2 linked regions of the Rhinolophus ferrumequinum genome follow. The protein of the gene in region 1 interacts with the protein of each later gene in a biochemical or structural test. Links are inferred from orthologs where the notes say so. Each region holds a gene or a part of one and is shown on either strand. Other genes may lie near its edges.

Region 1 (6,928 bases):
CGCGCTGGGCCATCTCCTGGGTGCAGGTCAGCCGCCGCCGCCGCAGTTCCTCATCCGTCTCCTTATCCACCACCAGCAGCTGAGTCTGCCCTTCCACAGCCTTGATCCTCTGCACCACCTGGGACGGGCAGGTGGCGGTGGGTCAGCGGCCAGCTCTCTGGGCAGCACATGGACAATGGCACCACCCAAAGCTGGCAGGGCTCGTGGGCAGGCAGCTGGCCTATCAAGGGGGGGTCGCTGGGCTGAGAGGCCCGCCAGCTCCGCCCCCCACCCCCGGGCTCCAGCCGCTCAGTCGCTCCTCTCCCGGGGCTCCAGACACTAGGGCTCAGGCTGTAAGGGCTGCAGGTTGGTCCCAGGGCCTCAGCCCAGCATCTTTTCCAGGAGGGGCAGGGAAGTTGGGTGAGGCAACCAGTGTGGAAGTGACAACGATGGCACATGGCTGAGCTTCAGGTTTCGGTGTGTCAGTGTGTATGCGTGTGTGCATGTGTATGTTTGCATGTGTGCAGGCATGCATCCACCTATTTCAGGGTCTTAGTCGATTGGAGGGAGAGAGGCGTCTCCCTGGGTGTCACGACCTGGGTGGGTCGGTGCCCATTTGTGTCCTTCTCAATGGTGGAGCATGGACATCTACACCCCTGACTCTAAGCCCCCTATTTGATCCGGACCATGGACCCACTCTGGCTGGACCTGCAGAGAGGGGAAGCCCTGGGTTCCTGTGGCAAGGCACCTACTCAGGCATCACACAGCACCCCATAAACAGGATTCACACCAAGCAGGTGGAGGTGGGGAGGGGCAGGTCCACCTGTGGGACAAGTGTGGCATGTGGCCATCTGTGTGTCTATGCAGGTGCCTATGACGTATCTAAAACATGTGGGTGACCATGGGGCATGCATGCCACGGTGCCCTGCAGGGAAAAGGAGAAAGTGCCCACCGGGCCTTGGGGTAGGAAGGGTAACACACTCACACCCACCCCAAGGCCTTGGGGAGGGTAGATGGAGTCCCCATCTGCTGCTTGGCAGAACTTGTCAACAGAGAGGAGGGTCTGAATCAGGCCCATCTTCCCGCAGCCCTGCTTTGTCCCTCCTCTCCCTGTGACTCTGAGAGTCGCAGCAGGGCCCCAGCAGCCTGCTCCTTCCTGACTGTGGGACCCAGACCAGTCACCTAACATCTCTAAGCATCGGTTTTTTTCATCTGTTAAGATGGGAGCTATAACTGCACACCCTCCCTCCTGGGGCAGTGGGAGGGTCCCACAGGCTCCTGTGTGTGAAGTTCTTAGACCAGCACCCGGAAGCCTGGGACAAGTAGGGGCAAGGGTGGCAATGAGTGTTAAACAGAGGACAGGTACCAGCTCTGCCAGCCCCTCCCTGTGACCTGTCAAGCCAAGCCCTCTGGCCCTGACCCCCACCCTCCTTCAGCAAACAGCTTTATCAGGTTGACATTCTGGGTGGGAGACAGAGGACAGCAGACAGATACAGAGATAGACAAGGGCCCAGGGTGAGAGCAGGAGGTCAGCTCCTGGCCCAGCCAAAAACCACTACACTAATCTCTAGGCCCCAAGAGCTGGCCACACCAACATATCATGGATGCAGAGGCACTGGGGGGACACAGAGGACCCTAAGCAGAGGAGTGGAGGAAGGCTAGACCCAACTCAGGTGAGTCTCCAGCCAGTGGGAGATGGACACCCCTAGGGGTCAGAACCTGTAGAGAGGAGACTCTGCCCTCCCTCTGGCCCTCATCTTCAGCTGTAGGAGGCTGGGGGCTGCGGCTGGTGGTGCCTGCAAGGCCAGCAGCCTCCGAGGAGAGACATGCGCTGCCCCCAGCAGTGACCCTGGCACCATCAGCCAGGGCACACACCAGAGTACTGGCTGCCAAAAACGCACTGATGACTCCACACATCCAGGTGCGCAGACATAAATATTTTCACACATACAACTCAGCTCATACACACTCATCCAGCACGCATGCGCTCATGCACACACACACAGCCCAGCTCATATACACATGTCCAGGTGTGCAGATCTGTCCACACACACAAACCCAGGGTGCAGACGTGTATATTCACACGCACACAGTCCAGCACACACACTCCCTGATGCAGGAACACACAGGTGTGCCCCTACTGTGACACCCTCCAGGCACACACAGGCAGATGTGTGCACACATGGGTGATCCCCAGAGGGACCTGCACACTCACACATATACCCAGTTTTGTACACACCCGCGTGTGTACACACATAGAAAAGCACCCAGGGTCTTCCCTTGCATGGAGAGCCCCCCGCCAAGGTGTCCCACACCTCCACACTTAGCACACTGAGGCCAGAACAAGCCTAAAGTGCGAGAGCCTGAGCCAAGCTAAGGAGCCGCAGTGCGGGCCCCTCCCTTCCAGGATCTCCCCCTCCGCGGTGCAGGACCGAGCTTCCTGAGGAGTGGGGGAGGCTAGGGAAAAGGCTGGCGGCCCCTGCCTCCGTGGCCATGTCCCCCACCACCCGGAGGGAGAGGCACGCAGGCCCTGGTGCGACCCCCCTCCTGGCCTCCAACAGGGAGCTGAGGCCTGGGCTCGGGCAGCGCCGGACGGGGTGGTCGTTGGCGCCACCCCGCGCGCGCGGGACAGGGTCGCGCTCCCGGGGAGGGCGTCCGGCGGGCCCCAGCGGGGCGCAGGCACCCACCTGGTGGTGCGTCTCGCCCTCCACGTTGACGCCGTTGACCTCGACCAGGCGGTCTCCGGCGCGCAGCGCGGCCGCCTCGGCTGGGGAGCCCGGCTCCACGCGCCGGATGAACTGCCCGCGGCGGCCCTTCTCGCCGTGCAGGTGGAAGCCGTAGCCCTGCTCGCCGCGCACCAGGTGGCACAGGCGCGGCCGCAGCGGCTCTGGCGCGGCCATGGCGCCGGCTGCCCACCCGCCGACCACGGACCGGCCACGGCGCTGACGGCCGTCCGGGGCAGGCAGGAGCGCTGGGCGGCGCGGAGGAGGCTGCGGAGGCGCTGGGGACCCGGCGGCGTCCTCGGTGGCTCCGGCTCGGCTCCCGTCGCCTCGGGCTCGGACCGGAGCTCCGGCTGCGGCACCGCCCCCGCGCCGCCCCTTCCCCGCCCCCTCAGTGCCCCGCCGCCCCCGCCTTGAGTCCAAGCCATCCTGGCCTTCCCCTGTCCCGGCGCCCTGCAAGCCCAAAGGGAGTCGGGGGAAGACTGTAGGGACAGGGTACCCCGAATCACCGGAACCTCTCTGTCTCGCCCTCACTCTCGGCAGCCTCCTTGGCTCCAGCGCTTTTGCCTTCTATTCCAGGAACATTTATTAACCACCTACTGCATGCAGGGCTCTACACTTATAAAGTGGGAGAGGGATGGAGAAAGTGTTATAGAGCCTAAGGACCCCCGCACACACACTGGAGACAGCGGGTAACAAGGAGGGCCACAGCTCTCCCCATCCTCCTTGGGAAGCTACATTGCCACCACCACCACCACCACCACCACCACCACCACCACCACCACCACCACCACCACCACCACCGTCTATATATATGGATCCTTCCTGCACTCATTGATGCCCTGGCCCAGGGTGGACCCAGAGGCAAAAAGAGAGGTTTGCAAGTGACATGGCAGCAGCCCCTACTTATGTACTGGAGGTCAGTGACTGGGTGACTCCCTGGCCCTCCCCAGGCGTGTTTGTGCTGATCTGTGCTGTGCGTGTCCATCATTCCCTCCCTATGCCAAGGGCCCCCACTTATGACCCTGCTCATCCTAGGCCTGGTAGGTGACAGAAAGGGTGGGGGAAGGAAATGCTCGTCTGGCTGGGACAAGAGGGTCTTTGCTACCCCACTCCTGACCTGGGATGAAATGTGCTGAGGACTTTGGCCTCTGAGCTCGGGCCTGTGGTCAGCACTCACAGGAGGTGTTTCCTTGAGCAGAAACCTGTTGGATCCTCCACACAGAGCCCTCCCCTCCCTTCTTCCTCCCCACCTCTTAGCCTCTACCTCCCTCCCTTAACCTCTACCCCCTCCCAGGATGAGTGCCCTCTTCCCACAACTGGACAATAATCACAATGAAGAATCATTTATGCTTTGTCTTGCCTCTGAGAGCATTTTACCTGGAACAACCCTAGGGGCCTCAGGCCATTTTACAGATCAAAAGACCAAGGTTTGGAGAGGGAAGAGACCAAGGTGAGGCTCCCACCCTGGGCTCCTCTAGGGCCCAGGGCTGAGATTCTAAGTCCACAGTCCTCGCAGCCTCAGATACAGAAGACAACTGGCCCAGGCTTCCCCTCAATCTGCCCCTCCCCAGCCCTGCCCTGCCCCCTGCACATACCTGGTGCCTGGGGGTCAGGCACAGCCAGCCCAGACAGTTCCCCATGAGGGCAGAAGTAGGTTCAGATCCGGCCCAGTCCTTGCTGCTACTTCTCCCCTCTCCAGTGCCCTCAGGCTGGGCTCCCAACCCCCGCCCAAGCACAAGGCCCGCCTCTGGGCAGCCTCCTGGGCCCCAGCCCCTTGGGTATCCACACCCCAACTGCTGCCCCTAAAAGCCACTTAGGCCAAAGCTGCATGGCTGTTCCCCCACCCCCACCTCTGAGTTCCTGACTGATGCTGCCATAGACGCCCATATGGCTGGCCACCTCCATCTGTCTGCCTGTCCAGAAGCTGCCTGTCTGGCCTGCGACTGGCCTCCCCTGGCCCAGCCTGGTGCTTCTGCCCCAGGAGGCTGGGAGGATGGGTGTGGGCTGGGAGGTCCACCATATACCACCCCAAGGGATTACCCTATAGCAACCAGGACCACCCAGGACCTGCCAAACTGTAGCTTTGGGGCCACACCAGAGTTGAGGTAGCTGGCTGGATGGGAAATCACCAGAGAAGGTAGAGGCCCCTAGTTCCCTGGGTCAGAAGGCTTGGAGACCATCTCCCCCATCCATAGGAGAACCACTAATCAGTCTTGGGCCCTTTCGCCTTCCACAGCCCAGGACTCAGCCTGTGAGTGAAGATGGATGGGAACAGAACACAGCTGGAGGGAGGGGTAATGGCATGTGGTCACAGCCAGGGGCCAGGAAGAACATTGCATCCCACAATAACAAAGGAGGCCCCAAAGCCTGGAAAGTACCCAGGAAGATAACAGTAACAAAGGAGGTGGGTAACAGCAACAGAATAACCACCCAGGTTATTCTGGGTGGTAAAAGAACTGCTGGTAAAAATTACAAAGGGGGAGCAGGAATGAGTAAGAGAGAGCAGAGTCAGTTTCAAGGACCTGGAGTAACAGCCATGAGGAAGCTCTCAGGTAAACTCTCCCCTGCCATTCCCTCCAGCCTCGGGCTTCAGAGAAAGAGGCTAAGGCAGAGGCCCAGAGTGTGGGCTAAAAGGTGTCCAAGGGCTGTGAACTGTTTGGGGTCCCTGGGGAAGGGGTAGGGGAAGTGAGCCTTGAGGCCAGCAGGATGTCAGATCAGAGGTGGTCTGGGTGATAACCCACCCCCCACTCCCTCACCCACTCCTGCCATCTTGCTATGCAGACTTTGTGAGTGCTCTAGGCCCCTGATGGTCCTCCTGGGGTAAGGAGGGGACTTTCCTCTGAGTTTTGAGCCCAGCTCGCTGCTACAAGGCCCCCAGCGAAGGGCGGAGCCTGAGCCTGGGAGGGGACTTGGGGTGTGGCAGTGGGCAGAGGCTTGGTCACAGTCAGAGGAAGGGCTCCGGCCTGTCTGGGGGGTGGAGCCATTAGTCTGACGCCCCGCTAATGGCCCAGAGCTTCTTCGGCTGGCACCGCCTCCCTAATGGGCATTAATGGCCCCGCGGGATGACCAGGCCCCGTTTAGGGCCTCCTCTCTCAGACACCAGGCCTTACTTCCGAGCCCGAAATTGGAGCAGGCAGGACGAGGGCGACGGGAAGAGATGAGAACGAGACCCGGAGATGAGAGTGAGAGAGAAGGGGAGAACCGACAGGACCAAAAAGGGAAGACGCGCAGGAAACTAGCCCAAGACGCCCGGGGCGACTTGCCCCGCCCACTCCCCTCTGGCCCTGCCCACGAGCCACCCAACCCCTCCCATCGCGAGAGGCGCGGAGCGGGGCTCTAACCCAGAAGTGCGGCCGCGCAGCGCCCCTTGCGGGCTCTGGCTGAGATTGCATAGTCCGAGGGGTTGCCCTAGACCCCGCCCCTGCGGCTCTAACTGGGTCCTGCCCTGCCAGGTGGGGATTGGGATGCGGCTGGCGTCCTAGGGCTGCTTGCCCCACAGAGACATAGGGGGGCCATGAGGGTGGTAGGCGGAGAAGCCGAGCCTCTGCATAGCCCCTAATCAGCTATGCTCCCTCATCTTGGACCTAGCACCAATCTCTCTGAACCGGGGTACCTCCAGGCAACATGAAATCGGGCGCCTCACCAAGTGTTCCAGCACTTGGGGACAAATATTTGTGGACCACTTGGCGCCAAGCGCTGGTGAGCACTAGAGAAACATCTCGACCCATAGAAACAGGGATTTGTGTACCTTGGCAAGGGGAGGAGGCCCAGGGTTGGGGCAGCCCCAAGGAGGGGCAGTTAACCCTGCCTGGAACCTTGGAGTCCTTCAGGGTGGACCATAGAGTTGTTCTGGAATGCAGAGTGTCTGCAGGCTATGTGGGGTGGGGAGGGCGCAATGAGAGTGGGGCATAGGTCCAGCCCTGTGACCCAGACCCAGAGCACAGATTTAGTTCCACCAACAGTGGGAAGCCCTTTTTAGTGTGCACTGGGGGTGATAAGGTGTTTGTTTGTTTGTTTTAAACTTTTATTTATTTTAAGCGTGTTTTTCCAGGACCCATCAGCTCCAAATCAAGTAGTTGTTTCAATCTAGTTGTGGGGGTGCAGCTCACAGTGGCCCATGTGGGGATCGAACCAGCAACCTTGTTAACAGAACCGCATTCTAGCCAACTGAGCTAACTGGCCACCCCCAGGACACCCATGTTTTGAAAGGCCAAACTCGGGGAGTA
Region 2 (7,138 bases), on another chromosome or scaffold:
GATGCCCCTTCTCTGGGAGTTCCTCTGGCCATAACCACCCCGTGCTGTCACCTTGCCCGTCCCCCCTCCCCACGCGGCCGTACCTCACTGGAGAACCTGGGGAGAGCCCCAGTGGGTCTGGGGAAGCCTTGTGTCCACCTTCCCCTGGGACGAGGCCTGCACAGGTGTGACATCCGCAGAGGAAGAGGCATGCTAGAGCGCGGCGCTGTAACGGGAAGCGCGGTGGGGGCATGACTCGGGGCAGCGAGTGAGGAGCCTTTCCTGTCTGCCTTGGGATAGAAGCACGGCTGACATGACGCGAGCACTTTCTGTGTGCACCCACTGTTCTAAGGACTCAGCGGTGTGACGTAGTTACTATCATTACCCTCCTCACGTTTGAGGAACAGTGTTAAGACACTTGCCTGGCACAGCCAGTGTGATGGAACTGGGCCTTGAACCCAGGTGGTCGGGCTCCAGGGGCAGGCTCCTAACCACTGTTTGGTGGAGAGGGAGGGGAAGAGCGAGAAGGGTCAGGCAGCAGGACTGGGCACTGGAGCGGGTACCCTCGGGCTCAGGCCACACTCCCAGGTGCAGGGGACAGGAAAGAATGACGCACTGCTGTTTTGGGGAAGAAGTGGGGTGAGGTCCTCAGGCCTTGGTGCCCTCGTCTGCAGGGAGGAGTGCACCCAAGCGAAGGCTGCCTTCCCCCATTGCTGGGAGACCTCCACGCTGGACAGTGGCAGCCCTCTCTCCTGCCCCGGGAAACAGCCAGACGGGCCCCACCCTACGAGCCGGTGTTGGGCAGGCCAGCTGAAACAAGCTGATAAGGGCAAACAATTCCACATTTGAAGAATGCCCGGAATTATCTCCCCTGAGGGGGCAGCTCTGGGCCCCTGAGAGAGGTGGTGCTGAGGAGCCTGATAACCAACCCCCAAGGGTGCTGTTCGCTGTCCAGAGGCACCAAGACGGCAGGCTCACGGTACAGCAGACAGAGCTGCCAGCAGACAGAGCTGCCCGTCTGCCTGACCACTCGGCCTGACGGGGGGTGACGAGGTCAGGTTGGGACTCTGTCCTTCCCGACACTGGAGCTGTCCTTCCTGCGATTTCTGCTCTCATTACCAACCTCTACCCCGCGCCCCTTATCTTAGCTTGGGCAGCTGCAACAAACTACCACAGCCTGCATGGCCTACACAACAGACTTTATTTCTCACAGTTCTGGAGGCAGGCAATTCCAAGCTCAGGGTGGCAGCAGGTCAGGTTCGGGAGAGAACCCTCTTCCTGGCTTGTAGGCAGCTGCCACCTTCCTGCATGTCCTCACATGACAGACAGGAGGCTCTGGTGGCTCTTCCTTTTCTAAGGACACTAGTCCCATCATGGGGGCTCCACCCTCAGGATCTCAGATAAGCCTCCCAAAGGCCCCAGCTCCTAATACCATCCCATTGGGGGGTAGGGCTTCAACACAGGAATTTGGGGGGGGCACCAAACATTCAGAGTGTAACACCCTTATGCCAGGGAAGTTGACCAGGTGCATCTTTGGGGACCCCAGCCCAAACAAGGGGCCACCTGGAGGCATATAGAGACCAGCCCCAGAGATTGTTATCCCCATTTTGGGGGGACCTGTGGCAGCCTGAAAAATGGTCGCCTCTCAAAATAAAAAGATGTACACATCAAATCCCTGAAACTGGTGATTATCACCTTATTTGGACAAAGCATCTTTGCAGATGTAATTAAGCTGAGGATCTTGAGATGAAATCCTTCTGGATTACCTGGGTGCTTGTTGACAAGTTTGACTTGGCAGTCATACTCTTTTTCTTGTTGACAAGTTTCCTTATAAGTGACACAGAGAGGGGAAGAGGCAGCAATGTGACCATGGTGACACAGATTGGAGTCGTACTGCTGCAAGCCAAGGAATGCCAGCGACTGCAAGAAGCTAGAAGAGGCAAGGAAGGTTCCCCCTTGGCAGCTCCAGAGGGAAGCTGACCTGCTCAAACCTTGATTTCAGACTTCTGGCCTCCAGACCTCCGAGAGAATAAATTTCTGTTTTAAGCCACCCAGTGTGTGGGCATTCGAATGGCAGCCCCAGGAAACTGATACAGGACCCAGGGCACCGAGAGGGTCCCAGCTTTACCCAAGCCCAGTGCAGGCCTGGGAGAGCGCCATACTGGTTGGCAGAGGTGAGGCGAGTCAGCTTCCCTGTTGCCCCTCCCAGGCTCCTGGTCCAGAGCTCTGACCTCTGCCCACAAGCCCCAGGTCAGGCTCCCCGACCCCCACCACTGCAGTTAGGACCTTTGAGGTGGGGGGATGGGAGTAGCTTTCTTAATGCCACAGAGGACAAGTATTTATAAGGGGTGGGTACAGAACGAGTGAGATACCTCGGGCCGAACACCAGAGCAAACAGTCTCCAGGGACAGGACGCACAGTGGGGGCAGAGGGGGGAGCCCAGAAGGGCCTCTTGGTGGAGGCAGCGAGTGCTCAGCTAAGTAAGAGGGAGGCAGTGGGAAAGGATGACCCAGCTCTGCGGAGGCAGGGACATGGGAAGTCCTGGCTGGAAGGAGGGGCACTGACTTAGCTGATAAAACCCCAGAAGCACAGAGGTGGGAACATACCATGGAGGCCGGGGAATCACCTTTTTCAAAATAAAGGAAGGAGAGTGAGAGGGGCTGAATGCAGTGTAAAGAGAGGACATCTGATGTACGGGCACTGGGGGAAAGTACTGGCCAGGCCATCAGGGGGCCCGGAGCCTCTCTCGGGCCCTAGGGCAGCCCCAGGTCCCTTACTGATGCCAGGACTTTGGGGCCATCATCCTTCCAAAGCCCCCATCCTACCAGCCGCACTGTAATTCCCAGCTGCTACGCAGAGGCCCAGCCATAAAGGATTTGGGGTCTGAGAGGGGTGGGCCCTAGAGAGCTAGGGGAGGCTTCAACCAGCCTGAACCTGAGGCAGCATCGCCTTGCCCTTCCAGGTCACGAGCAGGGCCTCCTGGGAGGGAAGAGGTTCACAAAGCAGATGCCATATGCTGGGGAAAGGAGTTTCAGGGTCCAGCAGGTCTCAGAAAGGCCCAGAGCAAGGCCTCTGAAGTGGCTGGTTAGGATGGCTCTTGTCACAGCAAAAGCCGCCTGACCCATGACAGCATCACGTTTGGGAAAGGACCTATGCATCCCCAGGGCCCTGAGACGTCAGCGGGCCCATTTCACAGATGTGTTTCTTTTATAGAGGGCCGAGGACCGACCCGAGGCCTTGGGGATCGGAGGCGGAACCCAGACCACAGGCCCAGGTCTCTGATTCCCCAGTCTGCACGTTCCTCGGTCTCCAGGCATCAGCGTACCCTGCCTGGTTTCTGCCCTTCCCCTGTGCCCCCTTGGAGCTTTCTGGTTTTATTTCCCTGGAGATGAACAGCAGTTGGCAGCGGGGGTGGACTGGGGGGGTGAGTTGGGGTTACCAAGGGACGAAGGGGACGTATATACTGGTGTCCCGGCCAGAGCCGCCCCGCTTACTGCCTTCCTGCCCTCCTGCCACACGCCCTCTTCCTGGGGCATTCTTTTGAGTTTCCTCTCCCACTATTAATAGTCAGGAGTCAACCCAGGTCTGTCAATGGCCAGGAACAGGAGGAAGCAGGCCCTCACTGAAGGTTGAGAGCAGTGTTCTCGGCCCAGGGGAGGACACTGAAGTGAAGCTTCTCCCACTCGCATCCACTCCCCACCTCCCTGCGCTGGAGATAAGCACCGGGAGGACCCAGCACCTCGAGGGGGCTGCCCCGTGCACCGCACTCATGTCCACACAGCCTTCAAGACCGGCTTCCTCTGCTCCCTGCAGTTGTCTTACCGACTGCGCTGGCATGACCCCTCGCTCACTGAAGGCCTTCACGCCTCCCTCTCCATCTCAAGTCGCGACGCCACCCTCAGTGGCCCCCGTACCCACTTGGGTAAACAATTCAACGGCCAGGCCTCCCAGCTGCGTGAGCTTGTCTCGTCTCCTTCATTCAGTCATGCCTGTTTCGCCCCCGGGAGGTGATCACCGCCACAAACCGCACCACCTCTGAAATCGAGGCGTTTCATGCTTTGACCACTGTTTCTCTACCTTCCGGTCTGTCTGCTCACGTTCAACGACACCGTAATGCTTGGACTCAAGACAACGACACCGTAGCGGCCCATGTCAGTGCCTATCAGCCAGTCTGTCGTCGTGCGGCCCGTTTCACCACCACCCACTGTAATCCCTACGGACAAACACCCTCAGGGCCCTCGCACCCCCTCCAGCCGGCAGGCGACTCACCGAGCAGACCCCATTCCCGATGAACCCTGCCCCCGCCCTTCCCGTGCCTCTGCCAAAGCCGGAACGCTGCTGCTAGGGGAGAAAAATCACTCGCCCTCACTGATCGGATTACTTTTAAATTCGTGATTTTACGCCTTCATCTGGCAAATCCTCCCCGGCAGCCCTACTGTGTTCTCCAGCACAGTGACCCCCAGGGCGGCCCCCCTGCCAGCAGCATCACAACAACTGAGGAACTTGTTCGAAACCCACGTTCTTATGCTCCACCCCCGACCTGCGGAATCAGAAACTCGGGGGCTGGGGTCCCCCCAGGTGATTCTGATGCTCCCTCAAGTTTGAGACCCACGTTTCTAGTAGGCTCCGTGTCCCATTTCCGAGATGAGTGTTTCGTACTTCCTCCTGCCGCCTCGTTCTTCCTCCTCTCGTATTTTATCTACATCAGTGTGGCTGAGTCCATCGAGACTTGATGGGGAACACTGAAGCGGGCCAAGGGGAACGCATCGTCTCGCTACCAAAATTACAACGTACTCACCGTCTGTGTCCATGCTCCTTCCGGTTTCAAAGGCGGAAGTGGCCGGTTTCAGAGGCGGAAGTGTCCGACCACGTAATAAAGTCCGGGTCCTCCGTGGGGGTTCTGGGTCAACACACGTGTATTCCTTTCTGTATCTTAAGGACCCGAGGAGACTGCAGAGTGGGAACATAAAAGGAGAGTTTTCCATCAGCCCTAAGGTCTCCTACCTTCAAAAAAGAAAGCAAAACGTTCTTGGCTGGACCAGCTCCCTCCAGTGGCTGCCGTATTTCTCAGCTCCTCTTCATGCCTAACATTTGATAGTTATCTACACACACACACACACACACACACACACACACACACACACGCTCACTTCTCGACCGCTCACTGTCTCTTCAGTCAGCCCCAGTCAGGTTTTCCACCTGTAAGTTGAGGTGGCCATGGACTTCCATTATTGCCAGTCTCATCATTCAGTACAATCAACCACTCCCCCCTTGGCAACACACACACACACACACACACACACACACACACACACACCAAAACAGACGTCCCTGTTGCATCTCCCTAATCCTAAATTTAGTATTAAGTTATCCCAAACTTAGTATTAAATTCTGTAAAATTGTAGTAATATTTTCTGTTTCTATCTCTAAAATCATATTTAGTTTTGCCAATTTTTGACTCATAAAGTCATATAAGTAGTCTTGTTTTTATTGTTCAGTATTATTTTTTAGATTAATTCATGTTAATACATGTATTAGATAATAAAATACATATAATGCATTTGCTGATTTCCAGGGCTGTGTAGTATTCCAATATGTGAATATACAATAACTTATTTATCCATACTACTTTTGATAAACATTTGCTTGTTAACTGTATGGGGCCGCTACAAAAACCCTGTTAAGAACAATCTCAAGAATACTTCCTGATGCATACATATATGCATCTCCCTAGGGTAAATGCCTGGTGATACAACTGAAAGTTGTAGATTGAAAGCTATCACTTGGTAATGCCATACTATTTTCCAATGTGTTTATACCAATTTACACTACTCCATATTCTTGCTGACACTGGTTATTGTCTGACGTAAAAAATTTTGCCATTCTAGTGGATATGAAATAATTCTTATTTGATTTTGCATTTCCCTAATTACTAACATATTTTAGAATGTCCAGAGGCTATTTGGGCTACTTCTTCTGTGAAATACCTGTTTAATTCTTTTGGCTATTTTTGCCTAAGAGGTTGTTGTTTTCTTATATAGAAGTTTTTTTGTTTTTTTTTTAAATGTTTTCTAGATACAAATCTTTTATGACTACATATGTCGCAACTATCTTTTCCTAATTCTTTTTTATTTCCCCTTTTTAAAAAGTTTTTAAATAATTGTAGATTTATAGAAGAGTTGCAAAGATGGTACAGAGAGTTCATATACCTTTCAGCTTCCCCTAATGTTAACATCTTACACAATCATGGTACATTTATCACAACTAAGAAGTTAACACTGGTACATTACTAATAACTAAACTACAGACATTTATATTTATATTTTACCGGTATTTCCACTAATGGTCTCTTTTGTTCCAGAACATGACATTGCATTTAATCATCACGTCTGACTCGTCTCTTACAATCTGTGGAAGTTTCTTATTCTTTCCTTATTGTTCATAATCTTGATGGTTTTTAAGAGTACTAGCCGGATATTTTGTGGAATGTCTTCCAATTGGGGTGTGTCTGATGGTTTTTCATGGTTAGACTGGGGTGATGTATTTTTAGAAAGAAGATGACAGAAGTGCCCTTCTCATCACAGCTTATCAGGGGATATGATGACTTGTGGATGGTCATGACTTATCACTGGTGATGTTAACCTTGATCATTTGGGAAAGATGATGTGTCTGTCAGATTTCTCCACTATAATGTTACTATTTTTCCCTTTCCATCCTCTGTTAGAAGAGAGTTACTAAGACCAACCCACATTTATATAGGGGTGGGGCAGAATATATTCCTCTTAGAGATGGGAAGAGTAGCTGCAATTTTTTGGAATTCTTTTGTAAGGATAATTTGGTCCTTCTTCCCCATTGATTTATTTATTCAATCATTTATCAGCACGGACTCATAGATATTTATTATATTCTTTCGGTTCCAATACAGTATTTTTTATTTTGTTGCTTAAATTGTTCCAAGTTTGGCCTTTGGGAGCTCTTTGTCTTTTGGATTTGCCCACTTTTTTTTCTTCTTTTAGCACTTCCTATGTTTGGCATTACAGGGTGTTCCAGGCTCATCTTGTATTTTCCCTATGTCAGCACTAGAGTCAAGTCATTTCTGCAAGGAGCCTTGGTTCATTTTATTGGAGAATGGCTGGGTATACTTGATGTTACTGGCATG

What was found.
Region 2: the proteins of NHERF2 (region 1) and PODXL form a complex in vitro, tested with the Homo sapiens proteins (3 studies listed by BioGRID and IntAct, with this or other methods). The link is inferred for Rhinolophus ferrumequinum from reciprocal best matches to the Homo sapiens genes NHERF2 and PODXL.

Annotation. Positions count from the first base shown.
Region 1 is NW_022680357.1:3,770,466-3,777,393, reverse strand, and holds the start of NHERF2 (Na(+)/H(+) exchange regulatory cofactor NHE-RF2), read right to left. Parts: upstream 3,015-6,928; 5' UTR 2,880-3,014; coding exon 2,667-2,879; intron 119-2,666; coding exon 1-118.
Region 2 is NC_046309.1:15,373,243-15,380,380, forward strand, and holds the start of PODXL (podocalyxin), read left to right. Parts: upstream 1-4,128; coding exon 4,129-4,305; intron 4,306-4,409; coding exon 4,410-4,557; intron 4,558-7,138. UniProt on the Homo sapiens protein: Involved in the regulation of both adhesion and cell morphology and cancer progression. Functions as an anti-adhesive molecule that maintains an open filtration pathway between neighboring foot processes in the podocyte by charge repulsion.